Linked DNA regions of Xenopus tropicalis. The protein of the gene in region 3 interacts with the protein of the main gene of each other region in a biochemical or structural test. Links are inferred from orthologs where the notes say so. Each region holds a gene or a part of one and is shown on either strand. Other genes may lie near its edges. The genes, in order: kpnb1, nup88, nup98, nxf1 and nup155.

Region 1 (4,795 bases), on a different chromosome or scaffold from region 3:
CAGACTTGTTTTGCAGTTATCTGACTGACTTATATAAGCGCTACCTTTTGTCCAATCTCTACCTTTTCACTTAACATACACAACACTTCTAATTTTTCGTAGCCAATTGGGCAGGTCAGACATTTAACTGGCTGATCCAACAAGGGACCAGAAATTGGATCATTCTGTGTGACCTAAGGAGACATCAACATGCTGGACAATTTTCAGGGAAAACTTTATTTGGGTAGGTCTCTTGAGGACACCATATACAGACCAAGAAGGGCAGCGGGACACAGTGAGATTAGTCGCCCCGCGACAAATCTTCATTGTTATGGGCGACTAATCCCCCGCAATGCCATCCCACCAGCTAGAATGTAAATCGCCGGCAGGATGGAATACGCATTTCTGCAATGTCCCGAAATCGGCCGAAATTGTCTTGAAAGGAAACTTTGGGACACTGCAGCGACGCATATGCCATCCCACCGGCGATTTACATTCTAGCCAGTGGGATGGCATTGCCGGGAGATTTGACACTGGCCAATTAATCTCCACGTGTGCCACTGCCCTAAGTGGATAAACTGATCTAAAAGTCAGTAGCTTTTTTTTTTAGCCTATGCAAGGCCACTTTAAGTGATTGTTATTATAAAAACAAAGTGACATGGAGGTAAGAGATGAATTCTGGCATGAGGAAAGGTACATGATGGTTCTATTAAACCAGTGGTGCCCAGATTTTGTCACTCTGTGATCTACTCTTCCCACCTGGCCTCAGTCATGAGCTCTACCACAGTTAAAATAGTGCAACGTCTATCATTTGGCACAATAAGCAACAGAAATATCAATGGATGTTTAACAAATACACATAGCAATATATAAATGCAGTGCCAAATTCACATTTAATGCCCACATAACATTATTCACGTGCCAACTTCAAGTTTAATGTGAAAGGATTGTAGTAGTTTTTACTTCCCTTCCTTATGGCCCACTTTGTAGTCTGCACACAGAAACATATATGAAGTGGGAACAAATATATACAGTGGCCCAGTGGGGACAATCTTCTATACTGGGATGAAACTACAAAGACGGCTTGAGCAGTCGCACTTGAAAGCTTCAGTATGCTGGGGGGGGGGGGGGGGGAAGTGGCGGGATGTCATCCCACTGCATTCCACCTTGAGGTCTACCGGTAGACCGTGATCTACCTTTTGTGCACCCCTGTATTAAACCCTGCCCCCCACCCCCAGCCTGGTCTTTGCCAAGTAAAGATGGCAGCCATTGGCACCACTTGTTTCCCGAGATCCTTTCCTAACATTTCAAAAACTTAAAGGAACAGTAACACCAAAAAATGAAAGTGTTTTAAAGTAATTGAAATATAACGTACTGTTGCCCTGCACTAGTAAAACTCGGGTGTTTGCTTCAGGAACACTACTATATTTTATATAAATACACTGCTGAGTAGCCCTGGGGGCAGCCATTCAAGCTGGAAAAAAGTCACAGGTTACATAGCAAATAACAGATAAGACACCATTGTATTCTACAGAGTTTATCTGTTAGCTGCTATATAACCTGTGCCTTTTCTTCTTTTGAATGGCTGCCCCCATGGCTACACACCAGGGTTTATATAAACTCTAGTAATGTTTCTGAAGCAAACATACAATTTTTACCAGGGCAGCAATACAGTATAGTTTAATTTCTTGAAAATATATACATTTTTTTGGTGTTACTGTTCCTTTAAGCGCAGGTCAGTTTTGAAGAAAACAGTAACATGTCAGCTTCATGGCAAAGCAATACAAAACATTTGGTACTTAGAGAATACCTTGAAACAGGAAGCAAGCATTTAGTTTGCAGGGTTTAACGACATTTATTGCAATACAAGGAAGCTCACAATGACAGGAATGTGGCATGTCACACTGCACCTACACTGAGTTCTGTACATTCTCCAAGGACTGCAAAAAAATGCAATTTGTCAGCACAGGAAAATCACACAACACGCACAGAGCAGCCCAAATGCGACATCATGCGATGCCACAAGGAGCCCCATTAGCCCCACATAGCTGTGCAACGCAACGTGCTTTACCACCGCCCCCCTCGCCGCTCCCTCTTCTCGCTTTCTCATTGGCCGAATTAGACCCGGCTAAATGGCTCCGCGCCTCCCCATTGGCTAGCGCAGGGTGGCGGGCAAGTTAGGCTGCGCCAGTCTTGGCGCTTTTCACTGAGGCCTGGCCGGGCACCACAGCGCTAGCCATTTCAGAACAGCTGGCGACCTACTGGCAGTGGCAGTCCCAGCAATTCCCGGCTTCCTATGTGCTGCGGGGGTTATCAGAGAACGATTACCCCCCAGGCCTAATAAGTCCAAATAAACTCCCAGCATGCCCCCTGCCAGCTTGGTGGCTACTTTGATAGTGGGACTCTTTTTATAAGTGTCGCTGTTTCCTGCATGCGTTTAATGTAGTGGGAGAGCCGGCACGGCCAACCTAAGGCTCCGTGTGGCTGTCATGGTGCCTCCCTACCCGGCTTCCTTCTCAAGCCCAACTTCTATCATTTCTCACCAGATTCTCGACTGCAGCTTGCTCCAGGAACTTCTGCGCCGCCTCCAACTCATTGCGGTCTGAGGGAAAAGAAGGGTAGACATGGGTTCAGGGCCCTGCCGCTCTATTGGGGATCCCCATGCATTTCCCTGCTGCCCCCCTCCCCTCACTGTTATCCCACACAATAATACCCCCAATAACCAGCCGCCCGTACCCGGAGACACGGTCTTTTCGAGGATGGTGACGAGCTCCATGCGGGCGGTGCCGGGTCACAGAGCTCAGGCGGGCTGCCGGAGTGAGCAAGCGTGGCGCGGAGGGATTCGAGCGCGCTTGTGTCAGAGGGAAGAATGGGGCTGAGGAGGTGTGGCTCTGCTGCGCACGGATATCTGCCGGATCTAGTTGTACGTCCCGGAAACCTATTGGTTGTTGTGAGGGGACTTGCTGCGCCTAAGGAGTGCCGCTAAGGGTTGTGGGGGAGAGGGGGTGCGTCCTATTAGGTAGAGCCAATGAAAGGGCGGGCCCATTAGCCAAGTCCTCACACTGTGGGGTGAGAGTGTTCCCTTTCCGTACTGAGTCATTATTACACTATGGCGAGCTGAAGGGTAGTTGAAAAGTACGATACTTTTTATTTTATTGTAGAAATGGAAAAGGCGACTGCTGCTGTGGTTAGAGCTCCCCAAAGGCATTCTGGGTGTTGTAGTCTTTCAACAGCTGAAAGAGAAGTTTAGCGCTTCCAATCTGCTTAGTCATGTGGCCGCCGCTCGGCAGGCTGTAGTGCTAGCAGCGCAGCTTTACTGAGCCCAAGTCATTGGATGGCTTTGTACAAACCACGACAGATGTTTAGTGGCAGGAAATAGAAAAAATGCACCAAAAAAAAGAGCTGGATTAAAAAACAGTCATTTTTATTCAATCCTATATGTAAAAACCTATATGTACAGCCATGGAGCTACGCTTAACGCGTTTCATGGCCTCAGAAGCATTATCAGCCCGTAAGTGGGAGGGGCTTATATAATCCAACTAGTCAAAAGACTAGTTGGACTATATAGACCAGGGGTCTCAAACTCGCGGCCCTCAGTACAGTATTTTGTGGCCCGCACCAACGCCTTCTCAAAAGCAACGAATGGATCGCGATTTTTATTGCGATTCAAGGGATAATGCAAGGCACGGCGGGCGGGAGCTGCTGATTGCGGAAATGACATTATGCCATCATAACAGTTATTATGGGAAGACATTCTGTGTGCACAGCTGCTAAGGAGCTAATTGTGCACACAGAACATCTTCCCATAATAACTGTTATGGCATAACGTCATTTCCGCAATCAGCAGCTCCCGCCGTGCCTTGCATTATCCCTTGAAAGCCAATTTTTTGTGAAATCCCTTATGCGGCCCAGCCTCATCCTGACTTTGCCTCCTGCGGCCCCCAGGTAAATTGAGTTTGAGCCCCCTGATATAGACTACATGAACCCTTACACACCACACAATATACATAAAAGAAGTACAAATAAGGATAGCAAAATAGAAATACTTATAGTTAGGAGGACCCAAATATAATGGAGGGAGAATCAAAAAGTTAACCCCATTTATACAATTCTCAATAGAAACAGGATAACTCCCATTCCCTATTCATCCCACCCTGGAACTCCAGGGAATTCAAGTTATAGATCCAAAAAGCCTCTTGCCTTAACAGTCTCCTCTCTAGATCCTTATCTGAAAAGATGGCCTGTCAATAATCTGAAAAGTAAAATGTGCGTTACCGTCATGTTTCTTCAAAATACGTTTGGACATTGCTGATCTTAAGGGCAGTAACACACAGGTAGATTAGACGCGCCTTGAGAGGAAACTTCGGGCGACATTGCGGCGCCACGTATGCCATCCCACCAGCAATTTACATTCTAACCGGTGGGATGGCATTATGGGGAGATTAGTTGCCCGTGAGAATGGAGATTTGTCGCGGGGCGACTAATCTTCCCGTGTACCCCTGCCCTAAGTCTCCTGTCTCTAAAGAGTCCAGAATGCATTTAGATACATTCCATATGGTCTTCCCCACATACTGAGAACCACAAGAGCATGTTAATATACTACACCCTTATGGTGCCCATACACGGGCTGACTATAGCTGCCGATATTGGTCCCTTGGACCGATTCGGCAGCTAATCGGCCCGTGTATGGGCAGAACAGAGTGGCCTGGCCAACCGATATCTGGCCTGAAATTGGCCAGATTTTGATCGGCCAGGTTAGAAAATCCGGTCGGATTGGGGACCGCATCGGCTCGTTGATGCGGTCCCCGAACCAACT
Region 2 (4,097 bases), about 72 Mb from region 3:
TACAAAGTACTTCACCAGGTGACAAGAAATAATGGGTTAAAATACCATCCTGCTAACATCAATTACTAGACACAAACTAGGCAAAAACAATTCCCTGCATTGGTACTTAGCAATAATTTAGATATGTGCTGAAGACAGGCTGTAAAAATACAGTTAGATGCGGACAACGCACCCCTTTATGTTAATATATTATTATTAATATTTAATACAGAGGTGTAAAGATTTCTACATAATCTGACAGACTTGAAACCTCACATTACAGGGATGAAATGGCAATCCTTTTTATTGAATAGATCTCTGCAATGTCCAAAAAGATGTACAACCCCTTTAAGGAAAGGTACAATAACAAATCTAACAGTTCACATTAATAGAACAATCTTCCCTCTCCATATCCTTCACTTCTGCACTTCTTGACCTGGTAGGTCAGTAGGGCAACACTACAGTTGCTTTTTACTTTCTTATATGATGCCACACATACAGTAGTACTGGCAGCAGACGTTAACTCCTATTGGCTGTGTCTCCTGTCAGTCTACTGCTTCCTGTGCCTGTGACAGAGTACTGCAAATCTAACATAACAGTCTGTAAAATTTAGGATATGCCGAGTCTGTTTGCCTATGTCATTGCAAATGAGAAATTAACCACTGACCTTTTAATTTATGCAACTGGTTACAGTGCATAAGCAACCAATGAAAAGTAAGGGGTTAAGTTAAATGAACTTAACTTAATATGATGTAGACAGTGATATTCTGAGATAATTTGCAATAGGTCTTTATTTAATTGTTGTGGTTTTTTGAATAACCACACAATTTAAATTATTTTGCTTTTTGTTCAGCAGCTTTCAATTTTGCCAGCTATCTGGTTGCAAGGGCCCAATTTTACCTAGCAGCTAAGCAGTGGTTTAAATGAGAAGCTGAAAGGAACAAAAGAGGGGGTAAATAGAAACATAAGTAATAAAAAGTAACAATAATATTGCAGCCTCACAGTCATACAATTGTATGTGTTTCGGCATAGGGTGGATGCATTAATTATAATAGTTTAATGGGATTATTGAATGGTTCTTTTTAATGCTCATTTAAACAGTTACATACCTTTCTTCTTTGCAATACTGTAGATCTTCTAGCTGTTTTTCTTTCTGAACAATCAACAGTTTAACTCTAATTAGAGAAAAAAATTAGAAAAAATAATTCTTTTTTTTCTCTCTCTCTCTCAAGTTTAGTATAAAAGTAGAACACGCAATGAGAACAAAAGAAAATAAATTGCACAAAATGAGAAACAAATGAAATATATTACCGTCTCTGGATTTCCTCCTTGGCAAGGTCTTGTTTGAGAAGGTATTCTTCACGGAAAACCTGAGTAGCTCTACTTAGAAGCTGTAGACACTCCTCAGGTGGAGGAGAGGAATCTTTGCTTGATGAGCTACAAGATGGCAACATTTTTAGTGTTGTAGAGACCATAGCTTGAAGAAGGACTTAATTGACTGGACAACCAAACTTAAAGTATCAAGGTGGCCTGTAACATAATTTATGTGTGTGGTTCCCCGAACATTAATATACAGGGTGTGATGTATGAGACTTAACAGTTGGGAGTAAGTATCCTTATAAAGACTATATTAAAGAAAACGAACTGCGTAAAATTCTGGTCATGGTCTAACTTCCTATGCCACAACTGTTACACATCATTCATCAGTGAGGTTACCATGAAAGAGAAAACTCACTATTTTATCATCATCTGGTATTCAAACCTGGAAGGTGGAATTCTTAAATTGCCAGAAACTGGCCACTGGGGAGAGCAGCCTTTTTCCTAAGGTGTTTAAGAAGCTAATTTTGAGATTCTGTTCTTCCCCTATTGCTCACCAGCCAGGTATCTTAGCTCAGCGAAAGCACACAAATGTTATAAAGTTTCACTGATCTACATTTTCTACCCCTTACCATGCATTCTACATAAACTTCATGGACAACAGAAAGGCTGAAATGGTCAGTAATGCACCCAACCAAACCGAAATAGGTTCTTCAAGAACCTATTACTCGCATAGATTCTCAAGCCCTGCATTTGATATATTTTTAATTGAATGTCATCCATAATATGCTCAGGGATAGAAGACTGGCCTGTTTGGTGGGTTACCACAATATATAGAATCTGGCTTGTCTTGATGCAGTGTCAAACCTGTTTCTCAGACTTTCATACATGTTGTTTGTTTTGCTTTCTCCGTGTGCTTTACAACAATGGACCAAATTTTCCTAAAAGTTCAGTTCTTGGCTCTTAGATCTTTTACAGAAGTGTGGGCTATTACAAAGGTACCTTGTTGTTAACTCATAAATGATAATGTTCCACCTACTTCAACAACAATGGGTTTGCAGAGTTGCGTCTTAAAATGCCTCTGATGTGCTCTTCAAATGGCCCTTTTACATCTTCTAGGACATGTGGAATGATCTCTGTGGAACTTTTGTCAATCTTAAAGCAAAGAAGAGGTGGAGAGGGTGGTCGAATGGTGGTTCTAGATAAAGAAAAAAAATAAACCATTAATTAGGACATTAATACAGCATGAACCTTACATTTTAAACTATTCTTTTATATGGAAATAATCCTTGGTAGTAAAAGCATATGGAAAAAATAATCAATGTAAATTGCAAGTAGAGCACTCTGAGCAATTTTAAATTAAAGGAAAACTATACCCCCAAACAATGTAGGTCTCTATAAAAATATATTGCATAAACAAGCTCATGTGTAAAACCCTGCTTCATCTAAATACACCATTTTCATAAAAATATACTTTTTAGTAGTATGTGCTATTGGGTAATCCTAAATAGAAAATTGCTATTTTAAGAATTAAGGGCCACCTCCTGGGATCATAGGATTCACAGTTAACACAAACAAGCCAAGGCACCCATACATGCTAGGCCACATCAGCCAATTAATGGACAGAGTTCTGCCTTTTGCTTTTACACTACTTTCTGTTAAAGTTTAAGCTGCATTATTTCTGGTCATGTGATCTCTGAGAGAATATATATATATATATATATTTATATTACACACACACACGCACTTTGGAAGTGAAGTGAACTTTTCGTCTATCACAAAACAAAACATTTAAGGCTCCAATACTCATTAAGGCCTTTACATTGGAGCATTAAACACTGTAGCACGTAGCACTGACAAAGACCCAGGAGGATTGAAACATGTGCGGACAATAAATGCACTTTTTTTTTTTGGCACCTTTTCTGCTTAATAGCCCAATTCTTGCTACTTTAATTTGTTTTTTTTATTGGAAGTTGCACCTGTGGCAGAGGTGCATACAAGGAAACCACTGAACTATACTGCTTCCTTGTTCAAAGGTATCAGTCACCTAAAACTCTTTTGTGCATAGAAAATTTTTGGTGTGCTGACAAAAATACTTTGTGCCTGGTGTCACAATTTTAATGCACACACAAACATGTTGTTTTGCTGTCGCCGATGCTGGCAACATATTTTTATTTAATATCAAACATCTACATTAAAACGCGAATGTGGTTTGCCATTAACCTCCTTCTTCAGGACTACACCTGTTTAGAGGAATGTACACAGTTCTCCACCCCGCCTAATAGCTGTACATTAAACAAAATAAAGAGAGTTTCTTTGTACTTTTCTCTGCAGGTAAATCACAATATAAAATTTCACAAAAGGTGTTCTGGTGTTGTCTTTGCAACAATTATGAAATGCAATTAAAAACATAGCTACATCAAAATCAATGTAAACACTTCCAAAAAACCCAGTTTCATTCTCATTACGTTGCAAATACATACAGCAATGGCCTTGCAATACACTCAAAGTCACATGTAATGCATATCATCGAGGTGCCAAGTGAAAGATCTGAGATGATCCAAAAGCCTTGAATAGGAGACGGCAGCCTACAGTAGTGAACAGAATACAGAAAAAGAAAATACACTGGCTATTAACACAATTTATTATCAAGCAGACTACAAGCTGAGAGTGATCAAGTTAACGAGGAATATTTGAATATTTTAACGAAAATTGTTGATGCATTGTACAGGTCCCAAGATAGTAGTCAGAAACAGTGGATGGTTGCTGGGTGTGTAGCTGTTTAAAACAGGGCTGTCAGG
Region 3 (4,663 bases):
CCCGGCAGCCAAAACACTACTGCTCTGTGAGGCTCCAGTTTTATGGTTATTGTTACTTTTTGTAACTTGTTTTCCCTATTCAGGTCCTCCAATTGCAAATTGTCCCAGAATACTACTCTCTACATCATACTTAAAGTTACCTCCAAGGTGAACAGCCCCCTTAATGCCTCGCACAGCCTTTGCAGTGCCTGCAACAATCCTGCAAAAATCACAGCTGTCAATCATCTATTGTCTGCCCCGCCTCTAATGCATAGAGGCGGGGCATCCAATTACTTAAACTTTCCCCCTCCCTCTTCACCATGAATCGGTGTAGCCAGTGCATGGGCATCAGGCCCCCCATTCTGGCACATACACAAGATTTTGGGGTGATACTGTAATTCCATGACTGAAGGAAGCAAGAGATTTACACAAATGCTACTCAACATATAGAATAAAAGGAACTACCAGGTGCAGAAACCCTTAGCAACCAAAATCTTGTTTGCCCAGTAAATGCTGCCTGCTGATTGGCTGCTCTAGGGGGATTACCAGCATGAAACTTTGAACCTTTTATGACATTTCCCCATATGTTCCCTATAAACACAAAGCAGCAGAATACAACCGCTGAGAATGTATACGGGGTGTATATATCTATATATTCACACAAACACAATACTGTCCGTTAATGAACGTATGAATTATATACATAATCTTTATACCATTGCTCCCAAGTACCCAGAGCGCATACAAACCTGCCAGTCTTATACCCATTCCTGGGACTATAACCCCAAACTGTCCAATATACATTCATTCCACATTATCCCCAGTTAAATATAAATGTGTTTGCCACTGAATGGAGTATGTGTCTGGCCATTTATATTCACTGCACTACTGGTTCTGAAGCATGAAACAATGAAGCAAAAGCTGATTATCTGAAATACCACAAGCTAACAATTAGCTACAATATATATTACTTGTGGACTACTTAGAGAAACGCTACCGATGTGAAACAGTTAAAACCTGCCAAGCCAAAATATAAATAAAGCCAAACGTAACTCATTCCCCAAACACTTCACCCCCAAATCCCCCCCTAACTGGCCTTCAGGCTGGGCCCCCTTAGCCCATAACAAGGTTACAGATATATAGAAACATTGGGGTAACAGTCACCCTGCTATAGTTCCAGGGGTACCCAGGGCACAAATAAGCACTCACCCCAAATCCCCCCCTAACTGGCCTTCAGGCTGGGCCCCCTTAGCCCATAACAAGGTTACAGATATATAGAAACATTGGGGTAACAGTCACCCCGCTATAGTTCCAGGGGTACCCAGGGCACAAATAAGCACTCACCCCAAATCCCCCCCTAACTGGCCTTCAGGCTGGGCCCCCTTAGCCCATAACAAGGTTACAGATATATAGAAACATTGGGGTAACAGGCACCCCGCTATAGTTCCAGGGGTACCCAGGGCACAAATAAGCACTCACCCCAAATCCCCCCCTAACTGGCCTTCAGGCTGGGCCCCCTTAGCCCATAACAAGGTTACAGATATATAGAAACATTGGGGTAACAGTCACCCCGCTATAGTTCCAGGGGTACCCAGGGCACAAATAAGCACTCACCCCAAATCCCCCCCTAACTGGCCTTCAGGCTGGGCCCCCTTAGCCCATAACAAGGTTACAGATATATAGAAACATTGGGGTAACAGTCACCCCGCTATAGTTCCAGGGGTACCCAGGGCACAAATAAGCACTCACCCCAAATCCCCCCCTAACTGGCCTTCAGGCTGGGCCCCCTTAGCCCATAACAAGGTTACAGATATATAGAAACATTGGGGTAACAGTCACCCCGCTATAGTTCCAGGGGTACCCAGGGCACAAATAAGCACTCACCCCAAATCCCCCCCTAACTGGCCTTCAGGCTGGGCCCCCTTAGCCCATAACAAGGTTACAGATATATAGAAACATTGGGGTAACAGTCACCCCGCTATAGTTCCAGGGGTACCCAGGGCACAAATAAGCACTCACCCCAAATCCCCCCCTAACTGGCCTTCAGGCTGGGCCCCCTTAGCCCATAACAAGGTTACAGATATATAGAAACATTGGGGTAACAGGCACCCCGCTATAGTCCCAGTTCTTACAAAAGAAATACATTACCTGAGAGAGGAGATGGAATGCTCTTGAACAGATTCAGGGCCCTGGAAAAAACACAAAAACAAAAGTGACTAATAAGGTTGAGTTATGAAAACATTTACAGTAAAACAAAGTGGTGGAAGTACTCTGAGTATTATATGAGATTCCCTGTATGGGGAAAGCCTCCTTATCTGTAAGCACAAGACACAGGAAACAGAGAGAGGGGCCTGACTGGGGCAGTACATTAGGACACGCCCATGTGGGGCAATAGAAACAAACACATTAGGGGACAGAGACGTAGGCAGCGGTGCGACAGACGCAGCAGAGAAACCTATGGAGGCTGCAATGGCACAGAGAGGGGAGACCCCAAACTGTCACTATCAGAGGGGAGGGGTTTCATTGGGGACACTGCATTGGGGATCCCAGGCCCGTCAGTAACCAAGAGAACCCAGCAGCACCGGAACCAGGCGGAACATAGTCCTGTCACTAACCAGAAACCGGTAGCAACCGGCAGCAAGCGGAAATGTGGAACTCAGTCCTGCCCTGGATATGGGAAGCAGTGACTGGGTATCAGGTTTAATCGCCCCCCACACATGGAAGTGGAACATTCCGGAGAAGGTTAGGCAATAAGGCGGACTGTTCCACCGCACTACAGCGGGAGGGGGCGGCTCACACCTCCCACTAATCCCCATGCGCTCCACACCTCAGCCCGACGCTCTCTCCCCGCCTACCTGCCCGCGGCCTCCAGACACCAGCGCCCCCAACCAAAAGCTCAGCTCGTACGCGCCCAACACAGCAGTAGATGAAAACGCTTTCCCCAGACTCTCCGGTACCGGCAGTCACGCTCCCGTCACGCAAGGGAGCTAAAGTGCGTCATCCAGCGATATGGCGCTGGCGTCAGGGGTAGAACGTCAGATCTGAGCCCCGCCCCCGTCAAACGCTCGATGGGATTGGCCGCTTCCTATGCCAGTCAAACAAAGGTCGGGACTACTTTACGCGCCCTTCATAACGATTGGCTGAGCGGCGGGACCCTATGGCGTGCGCGGCTCTGCTCACGTGATGGTTAGTCAGTACGTGACTCATTCCTGCGCTCTCAATTAAAACTCGCAGACTGAGTCGGGATGTTTATTGGTTTTAGGAGAGATGCAATTCTATTCACGTCTCAGGACAAAATGACACGCATAGTAAAGCTTTAGATTCGCGGTCCCGCAAGTTATGTGGAGAGCGGCGCGCAAGGAATAGAAGAACTGGATTGGCTATGCTGTTAGCCAATGGGTATGAAAGGGGCGGGGACGAGCGTCCCGCTACTCTTTTAAAAATCGCTCCTTGGAAATGTAATGGTGCGCGCTCCCGCTAGATATGGCGTGCAAGCGCATGGTGTCATGGTCCGGTGGGCGGGACTAGTAACTTTTTTCCCTCCTGGGCGGGACTAGTGGCTTCCAAGCAGTGGGGCGGGCCCTGTAGTGACTTGGATTGGGGCCCAGCCTGAGGGGCAGTTATAGTTAGTTTGGGGAGGGTACATATGGGCTACAGGGGTATTACAGGCTCTTCCCCCCAAAACTATGCCCCCCCTCCATGATGCTGATTCCCCTGGGTATTGTCTGAGGTGATTGCTTCTAGGCCCATTGACTGACTCCCCTTAATCTTCCTGTCCAATTACAGCTCAGCTAGGGCAGGAGGTGTGGCCTACATAGTAACATAGTAAGTTGGGTTGAAAAAAGACATCCATCCATCACGTTCAACCATAGTGCCTATATTCTTGGCATTAAGACTAATAAGTCAAATGGGGGGGGTTAAACTATGGGAAACCATTATGAGCCCAAAATGTGGGATATTTGTACTTGCAGCCAATGAGGGAGCCTGTTAGTCAGACAGCTGGATCACTGGGGGCCCCTGTGTATATGGAAAGCCTGGGTCACAAAACAAAAGAGCAGTTACCTGCCAACATTTTGAAAACGGAAAGAGGGACACACACCCCCAGGTGATTTAAAGTTTGATCACATTTCTGGGGGTTTGGGGGGGTCCTGTTTTATGTGTTATTCCAGTTTTGCTGAAAAAGGTGAAGTTGGCCTTTAGGCTGTGAGTCTCCATTCCCCCAAGAAACCTGTTTAGCTTATTAGTTACACTTGTATCTCAGTGCAGGGGGGGGGGCTTTTTACCTTTCTGGGCTCTCTGCCAAAAGCTACTTATTTAATTAAACATGAGAAACACTGTATCTAAGTGCAGGTGATGCTTGTTACGAATTCTGGGCTCTCTGCCAAAAGGTACTTTTGTTAATTAAGTTTGAGAAACATTGTATCTTTTTAGCTTCAGTGCAGGAGATCAAAGGGAAATGAGGGACTTTTCACAGTTGGGAGGTATGGAGTTATCTATCCAGCTTCCCAGTCACCCCCTGCCCCTGTGTAGCAAAGCCCTGTTAGTCTTCCTCAATACAGTGAGGGGGTGCCGGCAAGCTGCTGGTGGCCCCTGTGGAGACAATCACCATGGGTTGCTGCATTATGTATTAAAAATAAAGTGCCTGGGGAAATAGTAATTGGTTATGAACTGGCACCCCTAGTGG
Region 4 (3,882 bases), on a different chromosome or scaffold from region 3:
AGTTAACTAGAAATGTGTCAAGAGTGGGTAAAGGGCATTTTAACCACCACTATCAACACCATAACAATAAAGCATAACTATTTTCCAGCCTCAGCATCACAAAAGCTTTTTAAATTTTTATAATAAATAAGGCTTACAGATAGGAACTTTCTAGGCGGACGGATATCTTTAAGTTTATAGCTTACTTACATTTAACTTCATAAAAATTTGGCCTGCCTGGTCGAAGTCCCAACCATTGTCCTCAAGACACCTGATAAAAGAGAAGTGTAAAGAACACTTGTTAAATAATAAAGTAAGCAAATTCTTTGTCTCTAGCTCTTGTCCTTGGGGTGGACTGGTGTTTTAACTGGTAGATATTCAGACCCCAAGATATGAGCAAACAGTTTCTATTTGTAACCAGTTTTTTTCAGCATAATAATTGATTTTAATTATTAATTAAGTGATACACACAATATTGAATTGATTAAACCAAGTATGGACTACGAATATGATCACGGACTATGGAGCATTTGCACATTTGATAGGGATCTCATTGGATTATGGACACTTCATCTATTTGTCATTGTAAAGGTTTTTTCACTGAGCATGATAGGAATTGAACCTAAATGGGAGGGTGGGGTTGTCCTACCAATCCCTCTTTACACATTTATTTAAGGGAGTGTGCAGGCTCGAGAGCCCGAAACGTTGCCAGTTTTGTTGGCACAATAAACATTTTTCACAAAGATTCGGAGTGCTGCAGCGTACTGGATTTTACAGATGTATTTTAGCCCTGGCAGTGGGACTAGCAGTCAGCACCTGGTAAAGGTGAGCATTACCAATTTATTTTTGAATTGTCTTGTTCCTTGGCATGAGTATACAATGGCACACAGGTAAACGAGTAAACGACAGTGTGCAGGTACGCAGCAGGAAATGAAAGGTATTAAATACAGCAGGCTCAAGAGAAACAAGAGAAGGGGCACCTGTACAAGACATGGTGGTACACAGCACCTGTACATGAACCTTTTACACAGCCCTCTGCCCAATTGTTTAACGTCTAAAAATTTATTTGGATCTGGAAAGGGCTAAGAAATAAGAACTGTGATGGTTGAATAGGCTGGGCTAGGAAATAAGAACTGTGATGGTTGAATACCAATAAGGACTGTTTTTAGTCAATCTATGGATGGTAATAATGCATAAAAGCATCAAAATTCACTTTCCTGAAGTTTTTTTATATACATAAAGTGAAACAATATGAGAAACAGTTACTAGATACAGTCACTAGATACAATACAGCACAATTCAGTCCTACAGCCTTGGAAGTTTTGTCCACCTTCTAACATAAGGACTTGAGGGCAATAACCTATATTCCCGTTATGCCCTCTATATACCAAACTGTTTAATGTTAATCCCCCATTTCTAGTTTACCTCCTCCAACCTTCTACCCATCCTCTAGTTGTCTGTCCATCCCTGCAAAAGAGCCTCTACCTTACAGAAAAATTCCCAGCCCTCTTAAAAAAAACCGAAAAAAAAAAAAAACCCTTGGCCTTCCAGTCTGCCCAGCTTCACCAACAGGGTGGAAAGGTGTCTACTCTACAAACCCTAGCAACAGGTAAGCAAAATGTTTTTTGGCAGGTTCTGTCCTAGGGACTGATTGCCCAATATGCTTAGTTCTTGTATTGGACAGAAAATAGATTCCCCATGGTGCCCCGAGAGTCAGTTTGCCTGTTAACAGAGTTTAGAAGCATCCTCCCCAACATCTCCCATTAAAATTTCATATCTGTTAGGGTGAACCCCCATTCTTGAGAAAGTGACAAAGAGTCTGAATGAAATAGATTTTTTTTAAAGGTGTAATAATACATTCAGATTCAAAAACATGTAACCTGTTTGTACCAACAGATAAACTTACTTCTGAGACCATTCTGCATTCATGCCAGATACTTGAATGAACGCTTGCACCATATCATGGGGCACAGGTGCCAGGACTGGCACTGGGCTACTGGAAGGTGTGGGAGCAGGTGTGGCAAAGGCTTTGCGAATCTCCTCGGTGGTAGCATTCCTTATGAACTGTTCATCGTTTACCAGAAGTAGCCTTTTAGACATGAAAGATAAATGTAAATCCATTATACAAAGCTTTTGCACAGAATCTCTAAAAAAGAAATGTGTTGCTGAACTAGAGAGTAAAGCAAGTTCATTTACCAAATTGTATAGCAATGTGGCATTAATAATGTATGCCATACCAACAGTATTCTAAAATGAATGCCATTATTGCATCTCTTAGCAGAAATACTGAGATGACTTTTTAATGCAGTACTTAAAATACAAATGCTATATGCTATCTTAGTTGTGATCAAGTACAAGCTACTGTTTTATTATTACAGAGGGAAAAAAAAAGGAAAATGTGTAAAACATTTTTAATTTGGTTAACAAAGTCTATGGGAATGACCGTCATGTAATTCAGAGCTTTGTGGATAATGGGTTTCTGGATAATGGATCCCATGCCTCTATATTTTTTCCAGGACAATGATTAATGTGCAAATCAGTAACTAGCTACTTTTTTTTTCTTAAACTATTACTGCCACATTAATAATAGGACAAACTATTTTTAAATTATTTTCTATTTATACTGCTTTGTAACTTTTTCCACTTACATATTTTTAAGTAGACATCTAGTGTATGTGATCCCCCCCTCCCCCAATCTTGTAGATGATAATGAATAAAATATATGGTGCTGGTGTCACTCTAGGCTAAAAATGATCATCTTTAAAACTGCCCCTTTATTGTAGCTTCCCATAAATCTGCTATAGTCCCTGTCTGTGTTTCAAAAGAGGGGTGGGTGTGTGCCAATGGTCCCTGCCAGATGCACAGTAGGAGGGGAGTAGCCAATCACAGTCCTGCAGTCACACAAGCAAAGACAAGCTCAGGTCAGTCTAACTGCTGATTGGTTCCTAACCTACAGTGCAGTGTGCCGAGTGCCGCTGGCTTTCCTGCACAGGTGGAGAAAGGAGGCAGAAAAAAAGTGGAACAGATGGGCAGGACTAGTAGTGTTTTGGCAATATTTCTCAATCACATTCTTTGATGCGTGACAACAAAAAAAAACAATCCACTGAGAAGCCTCTGTGTAATGAGCTGCTCCTTATCTCAAGGCCTAGAAGTATGTAGCTGCCTTTCAACGTTTGTTTTAGAAAAACAGTCCTGGAAATCAGGATATGCAGTACATGTCCTTTAAATTAATGTTTAAATGATTTTTAGTAGACTTAAGGTATGGAGACCCAAATTATGGAGAAATCCCTTATCCAGAACATGTCCCAAGCATTCTTGATGAACGGTCCTATACCTGTATACAATAATGACTTGTATGGGTGCCTTCTATTTTCTATTCTTTAAGTTCAGTAATTTAAAAATGAATTTGTTTCATTTTCCTACCAGTGTCTGACATAACACTCTGTCACGCTGCCAACTGTTAAAATTTGATACATTATTAAAGGAGAAGGAAAGGTTAAGTCACTTGGGGGTACCAAAATGTTAGGCACCCCCAAGTGACTTAGAACGCCTACCTTGTACCCCGGGCTGGTGCCCCCGTTAGGAGAAAACAGCACCAGCCCGGGGCACCTGTAGACACCGCTTCCTCCTTCCTTTGCGCGCTGCTGCCGAAATCCGTGGGCCGGCGCATGCGCAGTAGAGTGAAAAGCCGACTTTAATGTTTAAGTTCGGCTTTTCACTCTACTGCGCATGCGCGCGCAAGCGAGGAGGAAGCAGGTAGCGCCGGCAGCTGCCCCGGGCTGGTGCTGTTCTCTCCGTACGGGGGCACCAGCCCGGGGTACAAGGTAGGCGTTCTAAGTCACTTGGGGGTGCCTAACATTTTGGCACCCCCAAGTGACTTAACCTTTCCTTCTCCTTTAATAC
Region 5 (4,097 bases), on a different chromosome or scaffold from region 3:
TTAATGACTCTCGTAGCATTCTCTCCTTTTCCAGTTTGTTTGGAACATGGCGGGATCTTTGCAAAAGTTCATTTGCCTGGAAAATAAAATTAATTTGTAGCGAATTTCAATTTATATTGTTAGATGGCAAATTGATCAATTGCACATAACGTATATAAAGGCCTTTTTAATACATAGTCTTTGCAAACATTGCATCTCCTGATTTTTACCTTTGAGCACACTGCATCGTCAGTGCTGTACAGAAGAGGACACACTTCTTGAAGTCGGTAACTAACTCCATCCACTGATGCGTTGTCTTGGATGTAGCAATTGATCAAAGATGCGGTAAGAGCCCCCGCCAGCTCTTTGTCTCTGATCACAAGATCTTTAAAAGTGGTTATCTTCAGCTGCTCCTGGAGTTCCTGTGTGTAAGAACACAGACATTCAGTTTCTGTCCAAGGAACTCAATAGCTTTTTTTAAGTGAGAACTGAAGCCTAAAAAAAGAATATGGCTAAAAATGCTATATTTTATATACTTTTTCTTACTGTGCCAGCCTAAAGTTTCAGCATCTCAATAGCAGCAATGATCAAAGGCCTTCACTTGTCACAGGAGCTCCCCATCTTGAAAAGTGTCTGACACTTACGTGCTCAGTGTGCTTCGAGGAGCTGTTGAGAAGCTGAGCTTAGGGGTTGTCGCAAATTACCAACCAGAAAATGAGGTTGGCCTGTCATATAAGCTGATGCTACAGGGCTGATTATTGAATTCTAATGCTAATTGCACTGGTTTCTGAGCTGCTAAGTAGTAATTGTCTGAATTACTACTTAGCCTTATATTGTGACATTTATGTTCTATATATACACAGTATATAGTGAGTGGGTCCCTAAGCTCAGGTTATACTGTGACATTTATATTGTATATATACAGTATATAGTGAGTGGGTCCCTAAGCTCAGGTTATACTGTGACATTTATATTGTATATATACAGTATATAGTGAGTGGGTCCCTAAGCTCAGGTTATACTGTGACATTTATATTGTATATATACAGTATATAGTGAGTGGGCCCCTAAGCTCAGGTTATACTGTGACATTTATATTGTATATATACAGTATATAGTGAGTGGGTCCCTAAGCTCAGGTTATACTGTGACATTTATATTGTATATATACAGTATATAGTGAGTGGGCCCCTAAGCTCAAGTAAGTGACAGCAGCACAGAGCATGGGCAGGGAATCAGCAGAAAAGAAGATGGGGGGCTACTGGGGCATCTTGGGGGGCACCGATTCCCTGCTAAAGGGCTGTGGTTGCCTTGGGCTGATACAGAAGCACAAAACATAATGTACAACATTTCTGCCCTACTTCTTTAGTTCTTCTTTAAGATGCATTAGAGCAAGAGCACATGTAAGCAAACCCAAGCATGGGCTGGTTCTCCCAGATGTTGCTGCTCCCAACACTCTTCAGACAGGGACTAAAGCCACAAAAAATAAACACAAACCTTTTGTAGATCTGAAACAATGAGGCTAAACTGATGTTCACACAGTAGCTTCCACAAAGCAAGAGCTTGGCACATTTTCCTAACCAGCTGATGGATCCCCTGGAGAGATAACTGTTCTGCAAGCTGAGCTTCAGCTGTTGAAAGGAAAAGATTGTTAGCATAATTATTTACAAATACATGTTTAGGCTAATGTGTTCTGCTTATTCATTTATCTTGCTTGATAACACAGTACACTTGGGCATATACACCTTTGATCTTAACTTGCCTTTCATTCCTTGGCCAAGGGGAAAGTAATAGTGAACAAATTTTGCCATTTAATATAATAGGCATCCATTGTGTATTTAAGATGTTGCATAATCAAAAACTGTGTTGCAATTCATCTATTACAAGCTACTGCCAAGCTATACAATAATTTTTAAGGCTTGTTGCTGCCCAAAAGCTCTCCTCTGTAAAGGCGGCTATACATGGGCTGACCCAAATGGTACCCTACCAATCAGCCTGCGGGATCGATGAGTGGCTATACAAGAACGTGAAGTGGAGCTCTTTTGGGCAACAAATAATTCTAATTATGATTATCTACCACAGTGCTGTCCAACTTCTGCGGTGCCGAGGGCCGGAATTTCTCTAGCATACATGGTGGAGGGCCGCTAATGGAAGCCAGTTTTGACCACTCCCCCATTTTAAACCACACACACTTCAAACCACACCCATTTTATCACAATGGTCGCTGCAGGGATATCAACCATCTTTCATATGTTAAAGAATTATATTATGTCATATTAAGACACACCCTTAAATCCATATGCCTTCTCCCCTGTGGATAGCACAGCAACCCCCAGCATATAATTACACACCTTAGGGACCATTTAATGGCTATTTCCAACTGCTAACAAACTCTCAGAACAAACCCCTGCCAGGTTCACCTCCCACAGGCAGCATAGGGTAGGCAGAGTATGGCACACACAGGCAGCACTCTGCCTGCCATACTCTGCCTGTCCTATGCTGCCTGTGGGTGCCATACCCTCCCTGCCCTATGCTGCCTATACACAGGCAGTATAGGCCAGGCAGTACATACGTCTGAGGTGTGAAGAGGTGAACAATGTGGGTGATTATAGCCTAGGCCTGAGCCTGAGGTGTGAACACTGCAGGGGGTAAACAATGCAGAGATTAAAAGGTGTGAACAACACAGGGGATTACAGTTTTAAACAATACAGGGGGATTACAGCCTGAATCTGAGGTGAGAACCATGCAGGGGGCCAGTTAATCATAGTACTGATACAAAGTTAAGCCATCAAAGCAGCCAGACAGGTGGGGGGCCACACAGAGGGGGGTCGAGGGCCGCATGCGGCCCGCGGGCCGCCAGTTGGACAGCACTGATCTACCAGGACAGATATTCCACTATCCAGCAGGATAAAAAGATTATCTGCTCAAATGGTACCCCAACCTGCCATACATTCCCAGATGGACAGGAAGTATGGTCTATCTCAGCCAAACTATCCAACCAAAACGGAGCATGTATGGCTACCTTATACATGAAAGCAGCAGGGGGTAGGGTCTAACAATTGTGGCCAGCAAGTAATGGTGGATCATTGCAAATCCACAATAGAAAGCAATCCCTCAACCTTTGCTCACAACCTGTACAGAGAGATTCCACTAAACTAGAGGCAGCATAGATATCCCCCTGAACTAAATGGAAATAAATATTAGGGCTGAGTATAATTTAAGGATGTAACATAAATACTGGTAAATCTTTCACACTTATTTTAGTGTCCCAGGCAACTTACTGTGGTATTTTCTTTGGAGTTCTTGTTGGGCTTGCTGTGAACTGCCAGAGTCAGGCCGGCCCAGGCCCACAAGTCGCTGCTGACGATTTGCAGGTGTACCAAAGCTGCAGCATGGGGGGGGGGGGGGGGGGGTTCAAATATTATAGTCATGGCTATACAATATATGTAGCAATGCAAGTATAAAAAGAGGGAATGCTGCATTAGCTGAGGGATTATGTAACCCATGGAACATTAAATGCATATAAAAGTCACTGATGAGCACTGGATCCACACACAGATACAGAACCGCGGGCAGTTATACAATCATAAAACTCAGTTACTTCTTATATGCTTTTGATAGACAGAAGTATTATGTTTTTCACTGCAACAGTTTAGTGTATATTTTAGGTCTTACTAATCCCTTATCTGAAAATGTAAAGTAAAAAACATATACTAGGCAGAGAAAACAACAGTTTATGGTGTCTCTATATACTAGACAGAGAAGATAATACACCCTACACCTACACTAATCAAGCGAGGCTGTGCGGTTATCTGTGTACACTTAATCATAGGCTTCTATATTCTTCTATACTTCTATTTCTCACATTAAACTTCAGTGGTCTTATATGTTCCCTACTGCAGGGTTGTTGGGAATTAAAGGGTTGTTCACCCACTTTTAATATGATGTAGCGAATATTCTGAGAATTTGCAATTGGTCATTTTTCATTATTTATAGTTTAATTATTTCAGTTTTTGTTCAGCAGCTCTCCCATTTGGAGTTTCAACAGTGATTTGGTTGCTAGGATCCAAATTACCTTAGCAACCAGGGCGTAGTTTGAATGAAAAACTGATACATTA

Evidence for each region.
Region 1: the proteins of nup98 (region 3) and kpnb1 form a complex in vitro, tested with the Homo sapiens proteins (3 studies listed by BioGRID). The link is inferred for Xenopus tropicalis from reciprocal best matches to the Homo sapiens genes NUP98 and KPNB1.
Region 2: the proteins of nup98 (region 3) and nup88 form a complex in vitro, tested with the Homo sapiens proteins (2 studies listed by BioGRID). The link is inferred for Xenopus tropicalis from reciprocal best matches to the Homo sapiens genes NUP98 and NUP88.
Region 4: the proteins of nup98 (region 3) and nxf1 form a complex in vitro, tested with the Homo sapiens proteins (5 studies listed by BioGRID and IntAct). The link is inferred for Xenopus tropicalis from reciprocal best matches to the Homo sapiens genes NUP98 and NXF1.
Region 5: the proteins of nup98 (region 3) and nup155 form a complex in vitro, tested with the Homo sapiens proteins (2 studies listed by BioGRID). The link is inferred for Xenopus tropicalis from reciprocal best matches to the Homo sapiens genes NUP98 and NUP155.

Annotation. Positions count from the first base shown.
Region 1 is NC_030686.2:10,834,606-10,839,400, forward strand, and holds the start of kpnb1 (importin subunit beta-1), read right to left. Parts: upstream 2,946-4,795; 5' UTR 2,756-2,945; coding exon 2,716-2,755; intron 2,582-2,715; coding exon 2,523-2,581; intron 1-2,522.
Region 2 is NC_030678.2:105,073,167-105,077,263, forward strand, and holds part of nup88 (nuclear pore complex protein Nup88), read right to left. Parts: intron 3,885-4,097; coding exon 3,780-3,884; intron 2,495-3,779; coding exon 2,336-2,494; intron 1,417-2,335; coding exon 1,291-1,416; intron 1,155-1,290; coding exon 1,089-1,154; intron 1-1,088. UniProt on the Homo sapiens protein: Component of nuclear pore complex.
Region 3 is NC_030678.2:177,463,207-177,467,869, forward strand, and holds the start of nup98 (nuclear pore complex protein Nup98-Nup96), read right to left. Parts: upstream 3,074-4,663; 5' UTR 2,835-3,073; intron 2,169-2,834; 5' UTR 2,128-2,168; intron 1-2,127. UniProt on the Homo sapiens protein: Plays a role in the nuclear pore complex (NPC) assembly and/or maintenance. NUP98 and NUP96 are involved in the bidirectional transport across the NPC. May anchor NUP153 and TPR to the NPC.
Region 4 is NC_030680.2:36,497,945-36,501,826, forward strand, and holds part of nxf1 (nuclear RNA export factor 1), read right to left. Parts: intron 2,069-3,882; coding exon 1,886-2,068; intron 251-1,885; coding exon 190-250; intron 1-189.
Region 5 is NC_030677.2:197,771,267-197,775,363, reverse strand, and holds part of nup155 (nuclear pore complex protein Nup155), read right to left. Parts: intron 3,365-4,097; coding exon 3,261-3,364; intron 1,611-3,260; coding exon 1,477-1,610; intron 402-1,476; coding exon 210-401; intron 77-209; coding exon 1-76.